4 linked regions of the Arabidopsis thaliana genome follow. The protein of the gene in region 1 interacts with the protein of each later gene in a pairwise test. Each region holds a gene or a part of one and is shown on either strand. Other genes may lie near its edges.

The links.
Region 2: the proteins of HB53 (region 1) and AT5G12980 interact in a two-hybrid assay, tested with the Arabidopsis thaliana proteins (one large-scale study listed by BioGRID).
Region 3: the proteins of HB53 (region 1) and AT4G12850 interact in a two-hybrid assay, tested with the Arabidopsis thaliana proteins (one large-scale study listed by BioGRID).
Region 4: the proteins of HB53 (region 1) and LBD21 interact in a two-hybrid assay, tested with the Arabidopsis thaliana proteins (one large-scale study listed by BioGRID).

The regions. Positions count from the first base shown.
Region 1 is NC_003076.8:26,632,172-26,637,210, forward strand, and holds HB53 (homeobox 53), read left to right. Parts: upstream 1-2,103; 5' UTR 2,104-2,234; coding exon 2,235-2,690; intron 2,691-3,360; coding exon 3,361-3,591; 3' UTR 3,592-3,714; downstream 3,715-5,039. Other genes in the region: AT5G66710 (Protein kinase superfamily protein), read left to right, coding at 4,438-4,703. UniProt on the Arabidopsis thaliana protein: Probable transcription factor that may play a regulatory role in auxin/cytokinin signaling during root development.
Region 2 is NC_003076.8:4,103,998-4,110,479, reverse strand, and holds AT5G12980 (Cell differentiation, Rcd1-like protein), read left to right. Parts: upstream 1-2,247; 5' UTR 2,248-2,340; coding exon 2,341-2,508; intron 2,509-2,949; coding exon 2,950-3,021; intron 3,022-3,196; coding exon 3,197-3,286; intron 3,287-3,408; coding exon 3,409-3,451; intron 3,452-3,684; coding exon 3,685-3,791; intron 3,792-4,015; coding exon 4,016-4,111; intron 4,112-4,324; coding exon 4,325-4,515; intron 4,516-4,598; coding exon 4,599-4,668; intron 4,669-4,819; coding exon 4,820-4,918; 3' UTR 4,919-5,097; downstream 5,098-6,482. Other genes in the region: GSL12 (glucan synthase-like 12), read left to right, coding at 1-35; CLE40 (CLAVATA3/ESR-RELATED 40), read left to right, coding at 712-805, 905-951, 1,145-1,246; AT5G12970 (Calcium-dependent lipid-binding (CaLB domain) plant phosphoribosyltransferase family protein), read right to left, coding at 5,179-6,482.
Region 3 is NC_003075.7:7,534,098-7,539,965, forward strand, and holds AT4G12850 (Far-red impaired responsive (FAR1) family protein), read left to right. Parts: upstream 1-2,876; 5' UTR 2,877-2,967; coding exon 2,968-3,327; coding exon of another isoform or gene 3,328-3,384; exon of another isoform or gene 3,385-3,984; coding exon 3,985-4,179; 3' UTR 4,180-4,346; coding exon of another isoform or gene 4,347-4,805; 3' UTR 4,806-4,951; downstream 4,952-5,868. Other genes in the region: AT4G12840 (GTPase Der (DUF707)), read right to left, coding at 64-117, 206-272, 357-422, 518-634, 710-811, 897-1,015, 1,097-1,171, 1,255-1,356 and 3 more; UNE14 (EF hand calcium-binding protein family), read right to left, coding at 4,347-4,805.
Region 4 is NC_003074.8:3,472,421-3,477,208, forward strand, and holds LBD21 (LOB domain-containing protein 21), read left to right. Parts: upstream 1-2,501; 5' UTR 2,502-2,615; coding exon 2,616-3,113; 3' UTR 3,114-3,428; downstream 3,429-4,788. Other genes in the region: RLP35 (receptor like protein 35), read left to right, coding at 1-892; AT3G11100 (sequence-specific DNA binding transcription factor), read right to left, coding at 4,070-4,083, 4,165-4,788.

The sequences.
Region 1 (5,039 bases):
TTACGTCAAAGAATTTGACACTTTGATTCCAACTTATTATCTTTTCTTCTTTTTGTTTTTCAACCTGCAAGGAACGTCCCAGTAGATAAGTTGAATTTTATCCTCGTCCCTCTTTGAAGTCCACGTGAACTTCACGTGCATAGCCGTCACTCAATGTCGGAATACATTGTTTTTATTTTTCTTCTTCTGTGAATTATTTAGTTCTTCCTAATTATATACCTTCCCATGATTCGTGTTCGTTGCCCACACATTACTATCTCTCTTTTACTCACCTAAAAAGGCACACTATAACCTTATGTATCAAGTGACCGTTTTTTAAGATGAAAAGTGTTGACTGCTATATTTTATCATATACTATTTTAAACCAATCAGTCGTGTCAATTCTGTATATATGTTTTTTTCTCCTTTAGAAGCTAGGGTTGAACACCTTACAAATCGAAAGCAAGGCATTGTAAAAAACCACGTACCCTTCTACTAATTAAGCCTTCCACAAATTTAATATAATTTTAGTGTTCGAATGGTGATAAAGGATAGTGCAGAACATGATGCTAAAAACGAAAGCAATATATGGTTATGATAGAAGAGATTGACCAAAACATGTTGAACAAACATAATAGAATTATTAACATAACATGTGTTCAACTCATTTTATTGGTTATTTTGTGCAAGTGTGGTGTTTTAAATTTTTCTTTAAACATGCATTCCAAATTCATGTGAGCGAAGGTGTGAAAGCTTTAATGTATTTGCTGCTTGTGGCCAATCTTTAATTATTCCACCACATTATTCATTCCCTTAAATGTACTAAACAAATTGTAAGGAATATAATTTAAGGTTTTTGGTACGAAGTAATGAAGGCATGAAAGCGTTTATGTCTTTGCTCCTTATGGCCAATCTTTATCCTCCCGTTGTTGTGTCTCAAACTCGGAACCTTAACTTCCTCCTTGATCAAGAAATACTAGTTCAACTATAACAGACGTATATATAATTCTCATACACCAAAATAGGACCTTAATCTCAAAGACCTGCAACGTCGATGATACGTAAGTTGTCTTGTGTCAACACATTACATGATAATCTATGGCTGAAGAAATTTCGTTAAAATGGTACAAAGAGAAGGGTTTAAAAATATGTTTCGTATACGTACAAAGTAAATTAAAGCAGGCTATGTTCAATTAATCGCATGGTGTGGAATATTATAACACTGTTGAAGACGACAAAATAGAGTACAATGTTTAAATATAAAGAAAGAAAACTCGGGAAGATTCGTGGTTATAGACTCCTAGTCACTGGTGTAAAATAATAATCTATAGGAAAGATGGGAAAAAGAGGAGCACACTGCTTTTCAAAGGAAAATGAGTGGTCTCGAGCTCCGAAAACAAAGAAAAAATAACCTACAAAATTGACTAATTAACAGTAAAAACTAAAATAACCAAAGACAAAGACAGTTTATGTTATATTATACATATATACCCAATAGTTATCCACAAATGATCGGATCGCTTGTTTACTACTTCCTCCAAAATTTGGTCATCTTCGGGATCCACACCACGTCTCTTGTCCAGAATTGTCGTCAGCCACCTTATTTTTATGTTTACTTATTCTGATGGGATGCGACAATGTTTTCGTTACATGAAGTTCTTAAAAATATCTGATCAAAAAGAATGAAGCTCTTAAATATTTTGAAACATAACCAACAAACATTTCTTTTATATAAAGTTAAAATGAAAATTTTAAACATCCAAAAATTTCCATCAAATATATCTTGCCTTAACAAAACAGATACATGTTTTCTTGTTGGATAAATTATTTCATAATTTGGATCAAGTGAAACAAAATGTTTCTCCACTTTTAACTACGTTTGTACATTGTGCAAAAATCTAGAGAACAAGTATATCTGGAAGAAATGTAACCATGCAAGTGTATTCTCTCATTTAGGGTAAGTACATCCCATTAAACATAAAAATAGAAAAGTATATGTATATCCAATTCGTCTCATACATGCATACCACACAATTAATGATTCTTTATTCAATTACATCTTTTTACATAAAAACAGATGGCATAAGTGTAAATAAAGGGAAAGACGACCCAAGAATAAGGGGTCACAGTCGTTGAGGTTATAAAAAGCATCTCATAGGACTCAACCTCACCAAAGTCATATCCTATTGCATCACTCTCCTTTAAACACAGTCAGAGAAAACAGCAACTCTTGTCTGAAAAACTAGAGAGAGAAAATGGATCATGGTAGGTTAATGGATGATCAAATGATGCTAGGCTCTCAAGTGTACCCCTACACGACCCAACCCCAAAATTCACACTGCATCATCGTTAACCAGATCGATGGAGGCGAAGAATCAAAACCGGTGAAGCGGAGGAGGAAGAGGAGGAGTAAAGGTTCATCAGCCACCAACGAAGAAGACGTGGCGGAGATCGGAGGGATGTTGAGGAAGAGGAAGTTGACCGATGAACAAGTGAACATGCTCGAATATAGCTTCGGGAACGAGCATAAGCTGGAGTCAGGGAGGAAGGAGAAGATCGCCGGAGAGTTAGGTCTTGACCCGAGACAGGTGGCTGTTTGGTTCCAGAACCGCCGTGCACGTTGGAAGAACAAGAAACTAGAGGAAGAGTACGCCAAACTCAAAAACCACCACGACAACGTCGTACTCGGCCAATGCCAACTCGAGTCTCAGGTATAAATTTTATGTTTTTTCACTATAAAACAGAGTAAATTTGGTGATTCTTAATTTCATGTTGCTTGTTTTTTCGAAAGATGAGTAATTTTATCCGTTCTTAGATAATTAACATATAGTTTATTCGTCAATTAGTATATTTTGAGTATTTATTACACATATGTGAAATGTAGTTGAATCGAATTTTACAACTAGTGAAAATCCGGTAGCTAGCTAAAAAACACATGTTTGGGACCACACCACAAATATAATAAAGTGGGATATTTCGTCATCTCATTCTTATCCACCATTAAAAAAAAAAAAAAAGTTCCGTCCGTACAATCTCAGTTGGGCTCATGAGTGGCCCATTTACAGTTGCCCACTCATTTAATGCCACGTAAAAAACCCTTCTCTGCATTTGGGCTGACATGCCAGAAAATATCCTCCTCATTTGATGAATAACAAAATTAATTTATAACAATTTTTTTCTTTTGACATTAACTTTGCATTGTATTAAAACACTATTTATTTCACTGAATTGGTAGTAAAATATATCTTTTTTTTTTGGTTAACAAAATTACTCTTATTTTTGTTTATCTAGGTACTAAATAAGAGTTTTATATAAGATTTTCTTCTTCACATAGTGATTAACTATGGTATTAACTAATGATGTATTTTTTTGCTGTTGTAGATATTGAAACTAACAGAACAATTGAGTGAAGCTCAAAGTGAAATTCGAAAACTGTCGGAACGACTTGAAGAAATGCCAACCAACAGTTCAAGTTCATCGCTTTCTGTTGAAGCCAACAATGCACCAACTGATTTCGAGCTTGCCCCGGAAACTAATTATAACATCCCGTTTTATATGTTAGATAATAATTATTTACAAAGCATGGAGTATTGGGATGGTTTGTATGTATAATCAGTTTATCAACTAAATATCTCGTGCTTTATTGATGCAACTCATGTTATTATAAGTAATGTAGAAATAGGTGTTGGTGAAACGGTTGTAATTATGTGTTGTTTTCAGTATTTATTTTAATATATTACTTTGTTTATTATCACTTTGCTTCTTCTAGTTCCATATATATAAATCTTTCAAAAAAAAAAAAGGTAACATATATTGATATTTGCTCATTTATCATAAGATATTATTAATGTTCAGTATACAATTAATTAGTTACCAAACAGTTGTTATTTATATCCAGCCGACATAGAAACTCTTGATTTCATTACTCAAATAGCTTATTCAAGAATTTATTAAAAATCCTGTATAGATAAAGTTCCTTAATTGTCAACCAGATTAAGTTGTTATTAAAGATGGAGGTAGAACGAATTTATTAGATCTAGATATTTAAAGGACTAAGATAAATTTATGTAATCTACTAATACATTCATGTTAATTTATCAAATTAATCATTATCAGAACAAAACCTACCACAATTATTATAGTTTCTTCCTTCATAAATCTTTATATTGGTCAACAATCTTCATATATAAGTTTATCTATATTACAGACGCATATTACAAAAAAAAAGAATAGAAATGAAATATGTTTGAATTTGTTATTTCGTAGACGATATTATAATAAAGTCTTTCCTTATTTTCCCTCCAGTTCCACATCGAGAGCCCTTTTTGAAAAATATTACTTTTTCAGAAAAGCCCTCTTATTTTATAGAGTTAACAGAAACACCCCAAACATTTCGGGTGTATAAATATAGAGCGTCACACTTTTTACTCAGCGTCGTCTTCATCGCTCACTCCAGAAATGAGACCTCGCGGGTATCAACGAGCTCCGTCAATGCAGAAACCAACAGATTATCCGACGGATAAGACGCTTCATCCGAATTACCCATTTCTCATGTCCTCTCATGGTCTCAAGTCCTTTGAATCGGACGACGAAGACGACGACTCCGACTCCTCCAACGATCAATTCGCTTTCACTATCAACACAGAGTTGCTTGTCGATGTCAAAGACATATCTATAGGGGACTTCATCGGCGAAGGTTCATCATCTACTGTCTACAGAGGATTGTGGGTTTCTCGTTTCTCAATCTCCTACTTCGAAATTGCTTCTGGGTTTGGTGCAAAAATTGCAGATTTTGTTTTCCTGTTTATCCTTTCTTGATTTCGGTATTTATTCGAAGAGTATAGGTTTCAGGGTATATTGGTGATTTAATTTTGGGTTTAACCTTGAAATTTGGAATCTTTCATGCTGGTTAGTGTTAGGTTTTGTCACTCTTAGGTTTATGTAGTCTCAGCTCTAGTGTTTCCTACACAATGCCTCAAAAAAGGATTAATGTTACAGAGAAACCATGAATTACAATAAGAAGGAAGATTCTGATGTGGGTGTTTGAATGAGTAATCTTT
Region 2 (6,482 bases), about 23 Mb from region 1:
ATCGTAAGGATCGCTCTTCTCGAAACAAGGAATGATTCATCTCTTCATTGTAATGACAGGGAAGGGATCTTAATTTATCCCTTTTTTATCTTCATGGATGATTAGGGTTAATGTAATTTAGTTTTCAATATATCGCTTAGGTAAAAACATTGTAGTATTCATCTATAAATTAGACGTTATCTATCATTTAATGACTGTTTAATTATTTAGTTGAAGACCTCCATTGGTCCATGTCGAGGAAGATAAGGAACTTACTAACAACTTTTGCTTGGCCTATAAGATACAGCGACAACAAAGCTTTCAAAAATTCCCTAGTTACCAACTGGGTTCATTAATGGGCCGATAAGGAAAGCCCACGATCTTCTAAGAAGGATTAGCCCTAGTTTCCTCTGCTTCGTTGAAAGACAACTTAAAAAATGGCGGGAAGTTGTGACAATGTTTGGTTCGACAAATAAGCGGAGACGTGGCGGCGATACGTGGCACCACGACATTTGTACGAGAATGATAATTTGTCTTGGTTCGAGCCAGCCTGTAAACGGTAATCTGTGTCCGTACAGCTTAAATCTCATCCCAAAAAGAACAACCAAAATGACGGATTTGGCCCCAACAAAGCTGTAAAACGAGGTTAAAACCCGGAACTTTCACCTTATTAGACGACGACACACCTCTCGTCACTCTTGTCGAGACTCTTACCACAAAGAGGTTTTTGAAATGGCGGCGATGAAATACAAAGGAAGCGTTTTTATCATATTAGTCATCCTTCTTCTTTCGTCCTCACTACTTGCTCACTCTTCTTCTACAAAATGTAAGTGTCATGTGATATGTTTAATAATATTCTCATCTTTATTCATCGTTTGGGTTCAAAACATGATGAATCAATCCTCTTTGTTCTTTTTGTTTCTAGCCTTCTTTTGGTTAGGAGAAACACAAGATACGAAAGCCATGAAAAAGGTAAGAAAATCTCTTCCTAGAAACACAACGCGACTGTTTTGAAGGAAATGAACAATTCGTTTCTTATTTTTACAATAAAAAGTATGAAACTTTTTGTTTTCTAGCTAGCTCTTTGCATTTGATATTCGTTTGTATTTTTCTATATGATTTTGATGCAAAGATGATTAATTTTTTGTTTTGGTACTGAAAACAGGAGAAGAAGATTGATGGAGGAACAGCTAATGAAGTTGAAGAAAGACAAGTTCCAACTGGATCCGACCCTCTTCATCATAAACACATTCCTTTTACTCCATAGATTCATTCCTTATATCTTTTTTCTGTATCTTCTGTTTCCCATTGTTGACATATTAGTTTGTAATGCTTTTCACATTCTAGTTTTGAGTTTTGTTTATCCGAATGTTAAATTTCTATTTCAGGTTGAAAATGATTAACTTCGTTATTTACTATAGAGTATTTCAATTACTTCAGCCAAGATTTTGTGGATGCTTTGGAAAGATGCCAAAGCGTAACAACTTCCAATTCAATTTTTGTGATGAGTTAGTTCTCAAGATGAAGTCGGAAGCATTCGTGACATCAATTGTATATATAAATTTTGGGTTTAGAGTGTTTTAAGTTGGTATCAAATCACAATTAATTATTCTGTGACATTTGTTTCTAGAAGAAACTTGGGAAAACCGATCTTTTGGATGTGAAGTGGTAGATTGGTTGTCTAAGGTTTTGTACTAGAATTTTGTCTGATTTTAGTTTTAAAACGGTAAGATATATTTTCTTTATAAGGACAATATGGTGTATCTAGTTCTAATTTTGTGACTGTATATAGATTTGTTGATGCTAGATTGTTTGTCAATAAAATTATTGCATTGACCTTAATTAGTTTCGGTAGCCAATCGACCACTACTTGTTGAGTTTTGGAGCCACATATTCCCCTTGCATGTTACACCGAGTGACACGACAAATTCATGTTAAACAAAAATAAAAGGATATACGGTTAAACTATTTATTGTACCGCAATAAATAAAGATATTAAATCAGTTTATTTTGGCGCCACAAACAAAGTAGATATAGTGTGTGTTTTTTTGGCTTGTTGATATCAAAATACCTATGTTTTTTTATTGTCTTCTACATTAGCTAAGTCATAATGTGAATCATGTAAATCTTATAATCTATCTTTCAGAATCTTAAGTTGTGTGAGGCACGGGAGAGTCACGTGAGAGTTTTTTTTTTTTTTTCACAAGTCACGTGAGATTTAGATTTGAACAAATCCCGTAACGGAGCAAGCGAGGCACGTGACATACACGCCCCCCTTAGGTCCTATAAATACATCTCCTCCTTTCACTGTCACAAGTAGCGATTCTCTCTGCGGCGCGTGTAAACGGTGACGGGGCTCTAATGGCTAATCTTCCTCCTCCGCTCTCCATGAAATCTGTCGCCCTCTCAGGAGCTTCTTCTCCTTCTTCTTCCTCCAACAACGATCGGAAGCTATCATCGGCGGAGCAGTTAATTCTCGATCTCAGCAATCCCGAACTCAGAGAAAATGCACTTCACGAGTTGTCTAAGGTCATCTCTCTCTCACCGAATTCTCTTACTCGCGAATTTTTGATCGTTTGGGTTTTCGTTTTCTGCGTTCTATTGAATGGAATTTCGAATGTATTTGGTTGTTTAGTCCGGTGAATCGTAGACATGCTTTTAGATTACCGACTCCTAATTCTTCCTTGCCGCAAATTTTGAGGGAATTTGTACGATTATTGTTGAGATTGTAAACCTGCATGAATAGGGGATGAAATTAAATAATCGAAATAGTTCAACACTGATTAAGGCGTTGATCTCGATTGGTGAGCAATTTAAGTTGGTATGAGGATTCTTCACTGAAGTTAAACGTCTGGACAATTAAAAAATCAAATGGTTTTGATGTTTACTGTACTCATTGCTTTTGATTTCATACATTAAGAAGTTCTTCTCACTGAAATTCATGTCTAATCCCGTGTTTCATTATTTCAGAAGAGAGAGATCTTTCAAGATTTGGCTCCGCTTTTATGGCATTCTGTTGGTACCATTCCTGCTCTTCTACAGGTACCCTCTCCTCCATGTTATTATATGGCACTTGTTCCTTTATTCTTCAGGGGAATTTATTTATTGATTTCTGGCTTCTCTATATACTGTTATAGTTTTAGCATTTTAACTTTTGAGATTTGATGTACATTGTATTGGTTAAGATCTAGTCATTTTCTTTCTTTCCTCTTTTCAGGAGATTATCGCAGTTTACCCTGCCCTATCTCCTCCAACCATGACTCCTGCTCAATCTAACAGGGTGTGCAATGCACTTGCTCTTCTTCAGGTGCATAAAATATTGTCAGTTTCCTCTTTCTTTTTTAGGGAGACTTACAAACGTTTATATATGTATGTTCAATTTGGAAGACTCTATTTTTTATTGATTCGACTCTTTTTTCGTACATCCAGTGTGTTGCTTCTCATACTGATACGAGAATGTTGTTCCTAAAAGGTACAGTCCTGTGCCCGAACAATTCTTCCTTAGTTCTCATTCAAATAATTTCGGTGTTTGCTCTGTGACTAAAGTTATAGAGATAGATTGCATTAGTTGAATACCCAACCCGTCTACCAAAACTAGTTTTAAGAGCCACCTTGTTGGTCTCTTTCTGATTGATCTCATTTATTAGATGTGTGTTTGGCTATAATATGCTTAAAGTTTAAAGTCTGTTGCTTTTCAAAATACAGCCCATCTGCCATTGTACCTGTATGCTTTCTTGAATACATCAAGCAAATCAAGACCGTTTGAGTACCTGCGGCTGACTAGCTTGGGGGTTATTGGTGCACTTGTTAAGGTATGTATTGATATTTGAGTTTTGTTTCCTCGTCTAGTTATTTAGTATGTTTATGCCAAAAAGGCAGGAACACTTCTTTTACATGCTAACAACTGTTTGGCTGTAAATAAATATTTTGGTGATTTGAGAAACAACGATTTTAGCATGCTAAGACCTTTGAGTAGATCCTGTTAAGACATCATTAGTGATATTGGTCTTGCAACATCGTTCATTTGGTTTGGTAGGTTGATGATACTGAAGTGATCAGATTCCTTCTTCAAACTGAGATTGTCCCATTGTGCCTCCGGACAATGGAGAATGGCAGCGAGTTATCAAAGACTGTAAGTTTGTCTATCTTCAGATGCTTCTCTTTAGATTCACATGCTTGAAAAATGTATATCAAGTTTCCTATCATTTATACAGCCAGTTGCAAATATCTGAAATCTTTGCTTCATACAAAGAACTTGTATAAGTTTTCTTCTGCAATTGATGTTTCTGATTGGTTTTGGTCATGTACAGTTCATCTGATTGATTTATTTGAACGGTTATGTCAGGTTGCTACTTTCATTGTTCAGAAAGTTTTGCTGGACGATGTTGGGCTTGAGTACATGTGCACGACAGCGGAGAGATTCTTTGCTCTGGGTCGGGTTTTGGGAAATATGGTTACTTCACTTGCAGAAGGACCGTCCGCTAGGCTACTAAAGCACATCATACGCTGCTATCTTCGCTTGACAGATAACCCCAGGTGCAATAATTATCCATTTTCCTTCATTTGAAAACCATATTATACACTCGTGCTTACACAATACAGTTACTGATGACATTCAGAGCATGCGATGCACTTGGAAGTTGCCTTCCAGATCTTCTGAGGGATGCTACTTTCAGTGGTTGTCTCTATGTAAGTGTCATATCTCTTGATAGCATCATAACCAATTATTAGTGATTCTGATACCAAATTGTTATCTATCAGTTTATTGTTATCACGACTCAATTCTTTTGATACTTGAGACTTGACTGTTTTTAGCTAATCGTCTCACTTAATTTGGCAGGATGACCCACCTGCAATGCAATGGCTGCAGCAACTGCTCCACAACGTTAACGTTGGCGGGAGAGCACCTCAAGGGTTGGCTCATATGTTTGTGAATTAAATCGAACCCTTATAGTCTGGGCAGAAACTGTTATTCATTGGACAAAAAAAGTTAGTTGGAAACAGAATTACAGATGAGAAACAGAAACCCAACCAAAGATTTTGAGTTTGATGGATATATGTATTTGGATTTCTTGACCGTCTTATGATGTTGCAATCAATATAACTAAAATTCCATTGAAAAGACCGAATTAAGCATTAAACCCAAAGTTTTTTTAAATCCAACAAACGTTTTACAAAAGCTGATGCAGATAAATTTATCTATAATAGACTGTCAGATCTTGCAGGTAGCCTCCTGAAGAGATTGAGCGGCACAGAGGGTAGCTTGTGCCTGAACCTTGGATGCCTCAGCACATAGATCCCAGCAAGAAGTGCAACAACCTGAAACGGCGTAACATACAACACGATAGCAGCTATGAGACAGAAAAGCACAAACAATGTGGTTGCCCTCGGGTCTCTCCAGCTCAGCAGCGATAAAAACCGCTCTCCCTGTGTTGCTAGATCGCCTATCACGGTCTGAACCCGTCCTCCTATGCTTCTGAGCCGGTCATATCGCATCCGCACAATCTCAGAGGATCGGGAAGTCGGGAAAGTATCAAACTCTTCATCAAGCTCGTCGGGGTGAACAGCGTCTGCATGGGACAACCGTGTGTCCATGTGTGGCGGGTGCCTTGGTCTCCACCGGAAATTCCAGATCCCAATCAAGAAAAGGTACAAGAAAACCGTTGGGAGGATTAATTCCGGGTAAAGAACTAAGATAATGAAAAGAACATGAATGAGAATTGTGGTTATTGGGTTTCTCCAGTTGCAGATCTGATCAAACCATTTTCCAACAGCAATGAGACCACTCAGAACATTCATGATTCTGAAGAAGTTAGCTTTACTCCTCCTCATGCTCCACATATGGGAGTCAACATCGAGCATGTACTCCACAATCTCTTTGCGAAGAGGCGGCTCTGCGCGGTTCAGCCTTGCCGAGACAATGTTCATCGCCTGGTGTCTCAGGCTGTCCAGCTGGAGAACCGATAACGGATGGATGTAATGCATTTTGGGTAGTAATGGCTGAGAATACATATGAAGCATGTTGATGAGAGATAGGCAAGTGAACCGCACAGCTAACTGTATTTCACCTGTCTTCTTGATCCCAGAAGGATGAAAGACGAGTAGCGGATATGAATGAGTGTAGATACGGTCAGCTTCAAGGGTAGAGAGCCGGATTCTCACTTTCCCGATTCTCAAGTCTTTTCCGCTTCCGCCTGGAATGTGTCCGTTGTCGAATGCTCCAAAAGTTATGACAGTGCAGGTGTCAAACACTTCCCATGTGTACTGCTCATTCCATTTAGGCGTAAAACTATCCACGATTGTTCTTGTTCTAATCCATTTCTGCCCATACTTAGCCACGCAATATGCATCTGTTGTCCCCTTCCCGTCTTTTGACTTCATTGGCATCAGCCCGTGTGCACTTATGATCCCTACTTCAAGCAGTCCGATACTCGGTTTCCATAGCTGTTTTGCGGTTGGCCTTAGGTCGCTGCTGTAGTGAGTTGATTCATCAAGAACATGGT
Region 3 (5,868 bases), on another chromosome or scaffold:
AGAAAAAAACAAAACCAACAAATAAAAGAATGTACATATTAGCTTGGCTCAGTCACAATTTACCTGTGCACAATATCCAAGCTGAAAATCTATACCCCATCCATGGTTTAAGTCATTCTATAAAAGAAAAAACACAAAGTCAAGTATCCAGATGTTGATGGTCTTCATGAGTCTGTAACATAATTAGTTCAAACATATGAAATACCTGAATCATATGCCATGTACACCTCCAAGCTGCTCTGGAAAACACAGGAGCCATCATTTCAACAAATCTGTAGGAGAGAGTTTTTTTTAATGAGTTTAAGAACAAGTTATGCTTTCCACTGAAGAAGGAAATGAAGATTCAGTTCTTTTACCCTGTGCAAGGAGGTCCAGTGCTATTCTCGTTGCACCTCGCCCGACCAATGACTTTGTATGTTCTCCTTTTAAACATCAAAACGTTGTAAAAAGATTCATTCTTACAATCTCTTTTCTTCTCTTTGCTAAAATTTTTTCTATTGGAGCTTGAGAGAAGTACCTATGTACTCTTGATTTCTTGTCTCGTGAGGTAAGTTGATGATGCACTTCAGAGAAATTGGGATCAAGAGCAGGTTGTGATATTTCAAGCTTTTCTTCTTTAATAATTGAAACATACCTGAAAATTTTCATCTCATTAGATACCACATCTTTACCAAGTGACAAACAATATATTCTTTGTATAACATTGTACCTTCTAGCATCAAAATGGTCAACACCGAGATCTTCATCCCATAGAAAAATGTAAGAATAAGCTGAGACAATATCCGGGTGTAGAAAACGCTTTGCAAACCACCTAAAAGAGTCACAAACATATTCAAACTGTACAGCCAAATGTAAAAAATCCTCGTCGGGTTTTACGATTATAACAGAACAGTTACCATTTGGTTTGGTTTACTACAGAAATATGAATGGCAGTGTCACTCCACTCAAACTCCTTCCATTCATCCACAGCACCATCGTAGTGAAACAGCATCACAACAAACTCACTTGATGGAAACTGCCATATAAGAAAGTGGAAAAACAGAGATATCACATCAAAACTGTTTCATTACCGAGAAGGTAATGTCCGAGGTTTTACCTTCTTGACAATCTTGTTGACACTTTCCTTTTGTCTTATTCCAACTGCCATAGCTAATAAGCTTGGTTTCGGTTTCTAAGCAAACAAAAACAGAAAATATAGCGTTAAAGGAATGACAACAGAGAAACTTGTGAACGTTTGGCAACAGGTAAAGATACCTTATCGCGCTTTGCTCCCCATAACGGTCGCATTTCCAAGTCAGATGTACTTGCAACAATACCTCGCGGTAACGTCTCGCTACCAGGAGGCCTAAGTTGTGTCTAATTAAGCAAAGCAACATGAAAAAATGTTAAGATTCATATAGAAAGGGAACTTTGTTTTGAGCAGCTTATTCAACAGACCTTGCACATCTTTAGTTTAGCAAGATTTAGTCTAATTATCGAACTCCATCCCGCGATACCCTGTCAATTAGTACACTCAAAACTGTTCTATAACATTATTCAGATTCAAGATAATGCTTAAAAGTTGCAGTCTAAGAACTCATACCTCTTTATAGTCTACTGTAATAAAAGCATTCCCTATAAGGAAGATCATTGCAAGAAAAAACACTAAAGAGAACAAGCGACGAAGAGACAAGCCCTTTCGTTTTTGATTCATACTTAATGATCCCTGAAAAGGCAACGAATAAAGAAGATCCATAACACATTAAACTCAAATCACAAGAACCTAATCAGTATTTAAACCCAAACACACACAAAATGACATTAATAGGGAAAGTAGTATGATCTCATTGAACAACAATGCCACAATAAAGATTCAAGATTGTGAAAGACTTGAGAGTTTTAATTGTGTAAACTCATAACGATCCACAGTTTCGTAGAGAATGGGCATATAAGTAGAACATCAACACATGAAGAAGATAAAAGACTTGAAATTTCATGATTGAAAACTTCAATTGGATTCTTGAGCTAATGAAATTTCAGAACTTTTTTGGTTTATTTCGACAACTTTTGAATCCAGAAATGGCAAAATGGGAGACAAACAAAAAGAACTAAACAAGACAAGAAGAAAAGAACGAAGAGCAAGAGAAAAAAGCTTACAGAGCTCAAAATCTTGGGTTTCTTGTTCATTTTTCAAGAACAGTGGTCTAAATATAGCGAAGCTCTTTCTTTAAAATCAAATAAGTAAAGTGTAGAGTCATAGTGTTAGAATACCTTATTTTTGTCAGAATTGGTTATTTTACAAAATTATAACTACTACTTTAGTTCCTTAAAGTTAGCTTCGAATAGGAAAATAAAATAAAATTGGGTATGAAAGCAATTACTGTAAGAAGGTCAACAAGTCAACCGTTTTAAACAAAAGTGATATTTTACTAAATTCGAAATCGAAATTTGCGTGTAGGAATCGTCGCAAAAGAAGGTTTTTATGGCTTAAAATGAGTGACCAAATGTCATTAAAGGTTCGCACGTGTATTGTTTTGCTATGCATTTCTCCACTTTATATAAGTAACGTATGATGCGATGTCCATGTGACCAGCTTTTGCTTAGATTTGTTACAAGAGAAAAGATCTAAGAAAATTAGGGTGAATAATATAACAAATAATTTTCTTTTCACTCGGAAAATTATACAAATTGTTTTAGGGTCAAATTTATCTTTATAGGATAAAGTTATTCATTTACATCTACATTGAAGAAGAAAATAAAATTTGGATTAAGGTATATGAGGAGCAATGTAAGATACATTAAACCGGTTCGTAAGATACATTAAACCGGTTTAATGTTCAGAAAAATCGAACCGGATTAAGTTTTAGGAAAATAGAACCGGATTAATTTCGTGAATCAAACATACCGGATTAACAGAGCTTGATCTGAAACTTAACGAACTCGATCCATAAAGGGTTTTGTTTTGTGAGTTGGATCTGGCTTATTCCGATGATGACCGGAGATCTGAAACTTGATGAACCTTACGTAGGTTTGAAATTCGAATCAGAAGAAGAAGCTAAAGATTTCTATGTAGAATACTCCAAAAGATTAGGGTTTGTTGTGCGTATGATGCAGAGACGAAGATCAGGTATTGATGGAAGAACACTAGCGAGAAGATTAGGTTGTAACAAGCAAGGCTTTGGTCCTAATAATCAACGATCATCTAGTTCTAGTTCTAGTTCACGAGAAGGTTGCAAAGCTACGATTTTGGTGAAAATGGAGAAATCTGGGAAATGGGTTGTTACTAGATTCATCAAAGAACACAATCACTCTCTTCAATTCATTGGGTCTTCTTCTTATGATTCTTTTGTACGTTTTCAAAGTTTGTATCTTTGGGTCTTTTTGATTTGCTTTGCTATTACATGACTTGGATGCTTGAAGAAGACAGATTTGTGTTACTGTTTTTTGCATCTTTGGTTCTTGTTTGCTACTACAAGGCTTGATGTGTTGAAGAAAGAGTGTGCATCTTTGGGTCTTTTTTATTTGCTATTACATGACTTGGTTGGTTGATGAAGAGAGATTTGTGTTATTGTTTTTTGCATCTTTGAGTCGTCAAATTTTGATTCTTTGGGTCTTGTTTTGCTATTACAAGACTTCGGTGGTTGAAAAAGAGAGATTTTTGTTACTGTGTTTCTGCAGCTTTGTCTCTTGTTTTGCTATTGCAAGATTTGGTTACTTGATTTGCCATTACAAACACTTGAAATTCCTTTGTACGTCTTCATATATTGCATCTTTGGGTCATCTTGATTTGCTATTACAAAGACTTGGTTGCTTGAAGAAAGTGAGGTTTATGTTACATTTTTTTTTTTTTTTTTGCATCTTTGGGTCTTAATTTGCTATTACAAGACTTGGTTACTTGATTTTCCTTTGTACGTCTTCCAAGTTTGCATCTTTTTGGTCTTTTTGCTTTGATATTACAAGAATTGGATGATTGATGCAGAGAGATTTGTGTTACTATTTTTGTAGGCTGATAAGGAAAGGAAGATTAAAGAGCTTACGGAGGAGATCGAGTGTCAGGACCGATTATGCGATGTGTATCGGGATCGATTGGTGAGTTTTATCGATAATGTTGAACATTATACGGAAGAATTGTCACTTAAAGTTCGAGATATTGTGGAGAATGTTAAGAAACTTGAATGTCAAATACAAACAAGAGCTTGATTCATCTATAAGCATTTGTCGAAAAATACCGAAGATTGCTCCTCCTTAGATCATAGTTTGTCCTAGCATTGAACATTCAATTATTTTAGCAGAAAACTAGTGTTAATTAGGCAAATTCAAAACATACAATTATCTATACAAAAATTATTGTTAAAAAAAGGGAATGTTTAATTGGAGCTAAGAGCAGCAAATCCACCACCTCTCATCATTTGTTTGAACTCCTTAAAATTAACCATACCATCTCCATCAACATCAACCTTACTTATCATCTTCTTGCAATCTTCAAGTGTTCTCCCTTGCTTCAACCCCATTGACGCGAGCACCGACCTCAGCTCTTCATCTGTAATGAACCCATCACCATTCTGATCAAATACTCTAAAGGCTTCTCTCATGTCCTCTTCTTCCTCTTTCTCTTCCACCATTTCTTGATACAATGATCCAAACTCATCGATATCCATGGCCCCGTCTCCATTCACATCCATCTTTGCTATCATCTCATTGATTTCATTTTCAGGGACCATGATTCCCACGCTTTTAAAGAAGTCTTTCAGCTCGTTTTTCGCAATCTTCCCGTCTCCATTCTTATCGAACATTTGGAACACTCTACTCAATTCTCCACGATCCATTCTTTATTGAAACCTTGATGATCTTTAAGCCAAAAACTAATGGAGAAGAAGAATCAAGATCAACACATAGATTCTAAAAGGAAGCCTAAGCAAGTGAAATCTTGTAACAGTTTAAACAAAACAGGACGTCGTGAGAAGACAGAAAATTTTACTAAAAGAAAAGACAGATGAGAGAGAGCTTAACGGATTCTGTTGATAGATTCAACACTTTTGGATCTTTCATTTTTCAGGCTAAAAATAGTTATATATGCCTTGAAATAGACTCTATGAATCATCTAATTCTGACACAATTAAGGAGAACCCCACTAGTTTAACCATAATTACTCGCCGAGCAATGGAGACACGAAATAGTAGCATGTTGAATTACATCGAATATTCATTTGTAGGTTGATAAACAAAAGAATTAAACTATGAAATTTGTTGCAATCAACCTTCCACGTAAAATCGTAAAAAAGAGACCTTGTAAGTATCTAGCTTCCTTAACCCATTCATAAACCTTGAGTACTTTTTACATAAGTAGCCAATTGATAGGTTGGATGTAATTCTTCACAAATATACTCAAGAAAATAACACACAATAGATAAGCTAAACCAACCCTAGTTCTAACTATTAAGTTTATGATGATTCTTACAACACCTTGAGTAAAGAACACTCTTCAGATCAAGCTGAATATCAACTTCATTTTTTGATGCATGCATTGTTTACCAAGGTTAATAAGCAACAATTTTAACAAAAAAAAGGTTAATAAGCAACAACAAAAGCGTTTAATGCACCAGAAATGTTGAGAAGCATGTCTTATGGGTCTCTCTGTCCCTGATTCTAGACTCATTCTAAGTGTTTGTACACTCTCTGTCCCTGATTCTAAGGTTGCAAAAGAACAAGAATTAGCAACATCTCGATCACTTGAATTTTCCTCAAGCGTGGTCTTCACATGAATTTTTGCTCACATCTTCAAGGTCACAAGGGTTTATGTTTGACCTTTCTTCTTGCATAGTGATTATCTTTGAGTTAATATCAAATTCATGTTCCTGTTCAAAATGGGCCACTCGTATATATATATATA
Region 4 (4,788 bases), on another chromosome or scaffold:
GGAAAGCAACAGAATCAACGACACGTTTCCGTTCTGGTTGAGTTCTCTGTCGAAGTTACAAGTTCTTGTATTACGCTCCAATGCATTCCATGGACCAATACATGAAGCCACATTCCCTGAGTTGCGAATCATTGACATATCACATAATCACTTCAATGGAACTTTGCCAACAGAGTACTTTGTGAAGTGGAGTGCTATGTCATCACTTGGAAAAAACGAAGACCAGTCTAACGAAAAGTACATGGGATCAGGCCTTTACTACCAAGATTCAATGGTTTTGATGAATAAAGGTTTAGCGATGGAGCTGGTACGTATTCTAACAATCTACACAGCACTCGACTTTTCCGGAAACAAATTTGAAGGAGAGATTCCAAAGTCCATTGGTCTATTGAAAGAGCTTCTCGTGCTCAACTTGTCAAACAATGCTTTTGGTGGCCACATCCCATCATCTATGGGGAACCTGACAGCTCTCGAGTCATTGGACGTTTCCCAGAACAAGCTTACAGGAGAGATTCCACAAGAGCTAGGGGACCTTTCGTTCCTTGCGTATATGAACTTCTCTCATAACCAGCTTGCAGGCCTAGTACCAGGAGGTACGCAGTTTCGAAGGCAAAATTGCTCTGCCTTTGAGAATAACCTGGGACTTTTTGGCCCTTCTCTTGACGAAGTCTGCAGAGATAAACATACGCCAGCATCACAACAGAATGAAACGACAGAAACAGAGGAAGAAGACGAAGAAGAGATAAGCTGGATAGCAGCCGCAATAGGATTCATACCTGGAATTGTCTTTGGATTAACGATTGGATACATATTGGTTTCCTACAAACCAGAGTGGTTCATGAACCCTTTTGGCCGAAACAATCGTCGACGCAGAAACACCACCACCCACTAGAGAGGTAATGTTCCGACTTTTGAACGAGTTTGGTAGCTTTCCATCAGAATGAATTTTATTTCTGTTTTAACAACTTATTTTCGTTGTTATAGGCTTATAACCTATCTGAATAATCTGGAAGAGGAAAGTCAAAGTAACCGGACGAACTCCTTGACGTTAACCAACCACTCTTTTAGCCATTTTCAAATCCAGATTGTTTCCGGTTTAGCTTGTGTTTTTCTCTTCTACTCTGTTTTTAGCCAACTTTGTAATTGAACAACTCTGTTTTTCGCTCTTTAGATGTACATGTAAAGTTGTTTTTTCCCGCGAGTTTGTTGTTATCATTTCTTTCCCCATTGCACTCTCGTATCTAAAAATGTATGTCTATTTGTTCGTATCAATTAAGACGCAGAAATACAGAGCAATTATAGAATTGGGGAATATTTGATCAAAAAGCCATTTTTACTGTATTTTGATAAACTAAACCTTATACATGGATATATTTGAAGTCAGTTGTGTCTGGTTCTTTATTAGACATTTATCTGCTATTTTGCAGCAGCAAGCTGTTTCATTCTCGACATTTTCAAGTAGTTTATACGAGAATGGAGAAGTGTGTTTTGATGATGAGTTTTTGGGTTTTTGGTAATGGCTTAAGGAAAGGGAGTGATTATATGCTAAGCTCTGTGAACTACTAGAAAAGTTTAGGTAAGCCTATGGGATTATAATCCATAGTGGAAAAGGAATGGAAAGCATTACATATTACGATTTAATTTATGAAATGACAAGATAAGAAGATTTAATTAAGTAAATGACAATTCTTTTTAAGTTGCTACTAGCAATTTCTTTAAACCATTACTTGTTTGTATATTTATACTCATTCACAAAGGTTAAGAGATAACAATATTATCGTTTTGTGTACTCATTATAAAGGTTAAAAGATTTAAGGTCCTTAAGATTTATGAATATTTGATTTAACAAAAGAAATTTTAAGTTTTGAGTTAAGTTTTTCTTGTTATTGGTATAAATTCACAACCAAAATGAATGATGAGTAGAAGAGGAAGCCAAAGAAAGAAGAGAAAATGGATAGTGAAGGGGACGGTGGTGATGGTGGTGGGCTTCTCATTCTCTCACTTTTCTTGTCAAATGTCTTGTCTTCTCCATTTCCACACTCCAATTTTTATATGCTACCTGTGATTTTATTTATTTTATTATTTGACTTTCTTTTGCTTAAGCTATGTATAATCTACAATAAGAACCACAAAAAGTGATATAAGCTCAGTTCTATATTGGTGCCCACTTTGTAAGAAATTTCCTCTTCAATTTGGAGCAAAGTGAAAGCTATTTTGTATTTTGCTTGATTGACTTGTTTCCACTAATCCAAAAGTCTTGCTTCTCTTGTTTCTTCTTCTATAAAAGAGAAAATTAGCTGATGTGTTGTTACTTTAACTCTCTCTATCTCTATAGTACCTTTGATTTTTCAATATATGATTATGATTTATGGACTCGAACTCACGACCAATCATGTAATTAGCAAGGAAAAGCTCAAAGCCAACACAAATGATGAATAGGCCCATGCCTTGTCCCATTTGTTTCCTTCTCTCTATTACTTTCAAAAACACTCTTCTTCACAAAAAGTTAAAAGACTCTTATCAATATATAAAGGAAGCACGAGATAAAACTTAGAAAAAACGAGAGCCTAACATTTACCACCAAAAAATCAAAACAAACAAACAAAAAGTTTGAGATGAGAGGGCATGAGCCACGATCAAGCTCATCTTGTGCAGCCTGCAAGCTCTTGAAGAGACGATGCACACCCACTTGCATTTTCGCTCCTTATTTCCGCTCAAGTGACTTGATAACTTTCGCCAAAGTCCATAAAGTCTTTGGAGCCAGCAACGTCAGTAAGCTTCTCGGTGAAGTTCCTGAAGAACAGAGACAAGAAACCGTTAACTCCTTGGCTTATGAAGCTGAGGTTCGTCTCAAGGATCCTGTTTACGGTTGCATTGGAGCCATAGCGTCTCTGCAGAAGAAGATGCTCGAGCTTCAACACGATCTAGCTGTTGCTCGCACTCGACTACTTGCCCATTCTGGGGTCAACAACAGCCAAGTGTCCCCTTTGGATGATTCTCCTGAGCTTGCTGCTTTTCTTGATCTTGTACCTTATAGTGACTTGATGTTGCTTGATGGGTCTACTAATCTTGATGCTTACTTGTATGATCTTGGACAGCCTCCTTTTGTATAGGCCTTATCTCTCTATCATATATCTCTTTATCAGCTGTATTTGCACTTTGCTTTACAAGTTATCTTTGACAATCTAAAGTCTGTCCCTAATGTATGAATTCCAGTATGCATAATCAGATGCTTACTTCATCATATGTATGAAAAAGGGTTTTAACTTCAAAAGTAACCATCACATGCGATGAGATAACTCAGGTACAAGATGAGCCTTGGAAGGTCAGAGTCCTTACCAGTTTTGGACCAAGTGGTAGGCCAAGGTGAGTAAAGTGAGGTGTTTTAGATGAAGAGCTTCTTTGTAAGTCAGGTATGAATAGGAGAGCACATGCTTATGTCATCCCGAAATTCTACCAAACATGAAACATTGATATATATGCTTCTATGATGTTCTTTTTTGAGGCTCCAATAATACAGCCTCATGTGTCAACTCGTCTCCCTCAGGCCACAAGAGTCTTGTCCTGGAGATTCCAGAGTGCAGCAAAGTCACATAAGCAAACATCCAAATCAATAGCTTGGTGGGTTTGATCAAATTCCAAACTGAATTATGAATGACTCTGATAAGAGTTCTCCTCAGAACCGTTCTACGCATCTTGTTAAGTCTGTACACATTCCTGAAACCTGCCTAAGCAAAAGAGTAATTGCAGATCACAGAAAGAGAGATGAGCACAATTTGGAACTGCAGACACTGATACACAAACCATCATACATTGATACTTCACAAAAGTACATCTTGATATGTCAGATACTATGAGAGTTCTTTTGGTAATTCGCATTGCTACTACCAATGTAACTCTACAATGCTAAAAAAGAGAATGAAAAAGAAGAAGAAGAAAAAAAGCATCGCGCTATAACTTAAGAAAACCTAAAGATCAATAATAATAACATCTTCTCCAAATCGTATGAGCTTTAGATCCAACCATTGCTCCTTGCTTCACATCAGTAACTCCTCCACAATCTACAATCCTACAACTTCTTACCTATACAACAAACAAAGCACAACTGAAGTTTCAGTAAACTCATCAATCACAACAAAACACACATAAAAATGAAAACTTTACCTGAAGCAGCTCTTCGTTTCCCAAGTTTAGATTTCTCAAGCTCCAATTGCATCTCCATCAACATATTCATTCGTTGTAACTCAAGCTCCTTTGCAACTTCCATTCTCTGTTTCTCCAATTCAATCATCATCTGTTGCTTCTTCCCCTCGATTCTCTCAAACGCTTCCCCTAACTTCAGAATCGATCTCGCTAGCTCCCTAAAGGCTGATCCTTCACTCGAATCTACATCTTCAACTTTACGATGCTTCCTCACCACAAATCCCCAATCACCCGCATCATCATCATCTTCTTCGTCGTCATCATCATCATCATCATCGTCATCGAGAGAGCTACCAGTTGATTTAGATCCAGTAGGATTCAAATTAGGGTTCATCAACGCCGATTTAACAACAGCACCGGACGATTTCTTCATAACCGGACCGATTAAGAAATCGAGTCTATCAAAGAAGCACCAATTCGATAAAGGTTTCGCCTTTTCAGTTTTGTACTTCTTCTTCAACGTATCGATCCGGTTTTTGCACTGTACATCGGTCTTTGGCCGGCCATTCCCGTGGCTTGAATTGACGGCGTCGGCGACTTCTTTCCAATCGTTTTGCCGGAGATTTCCCCGGTTGAGATTGACGT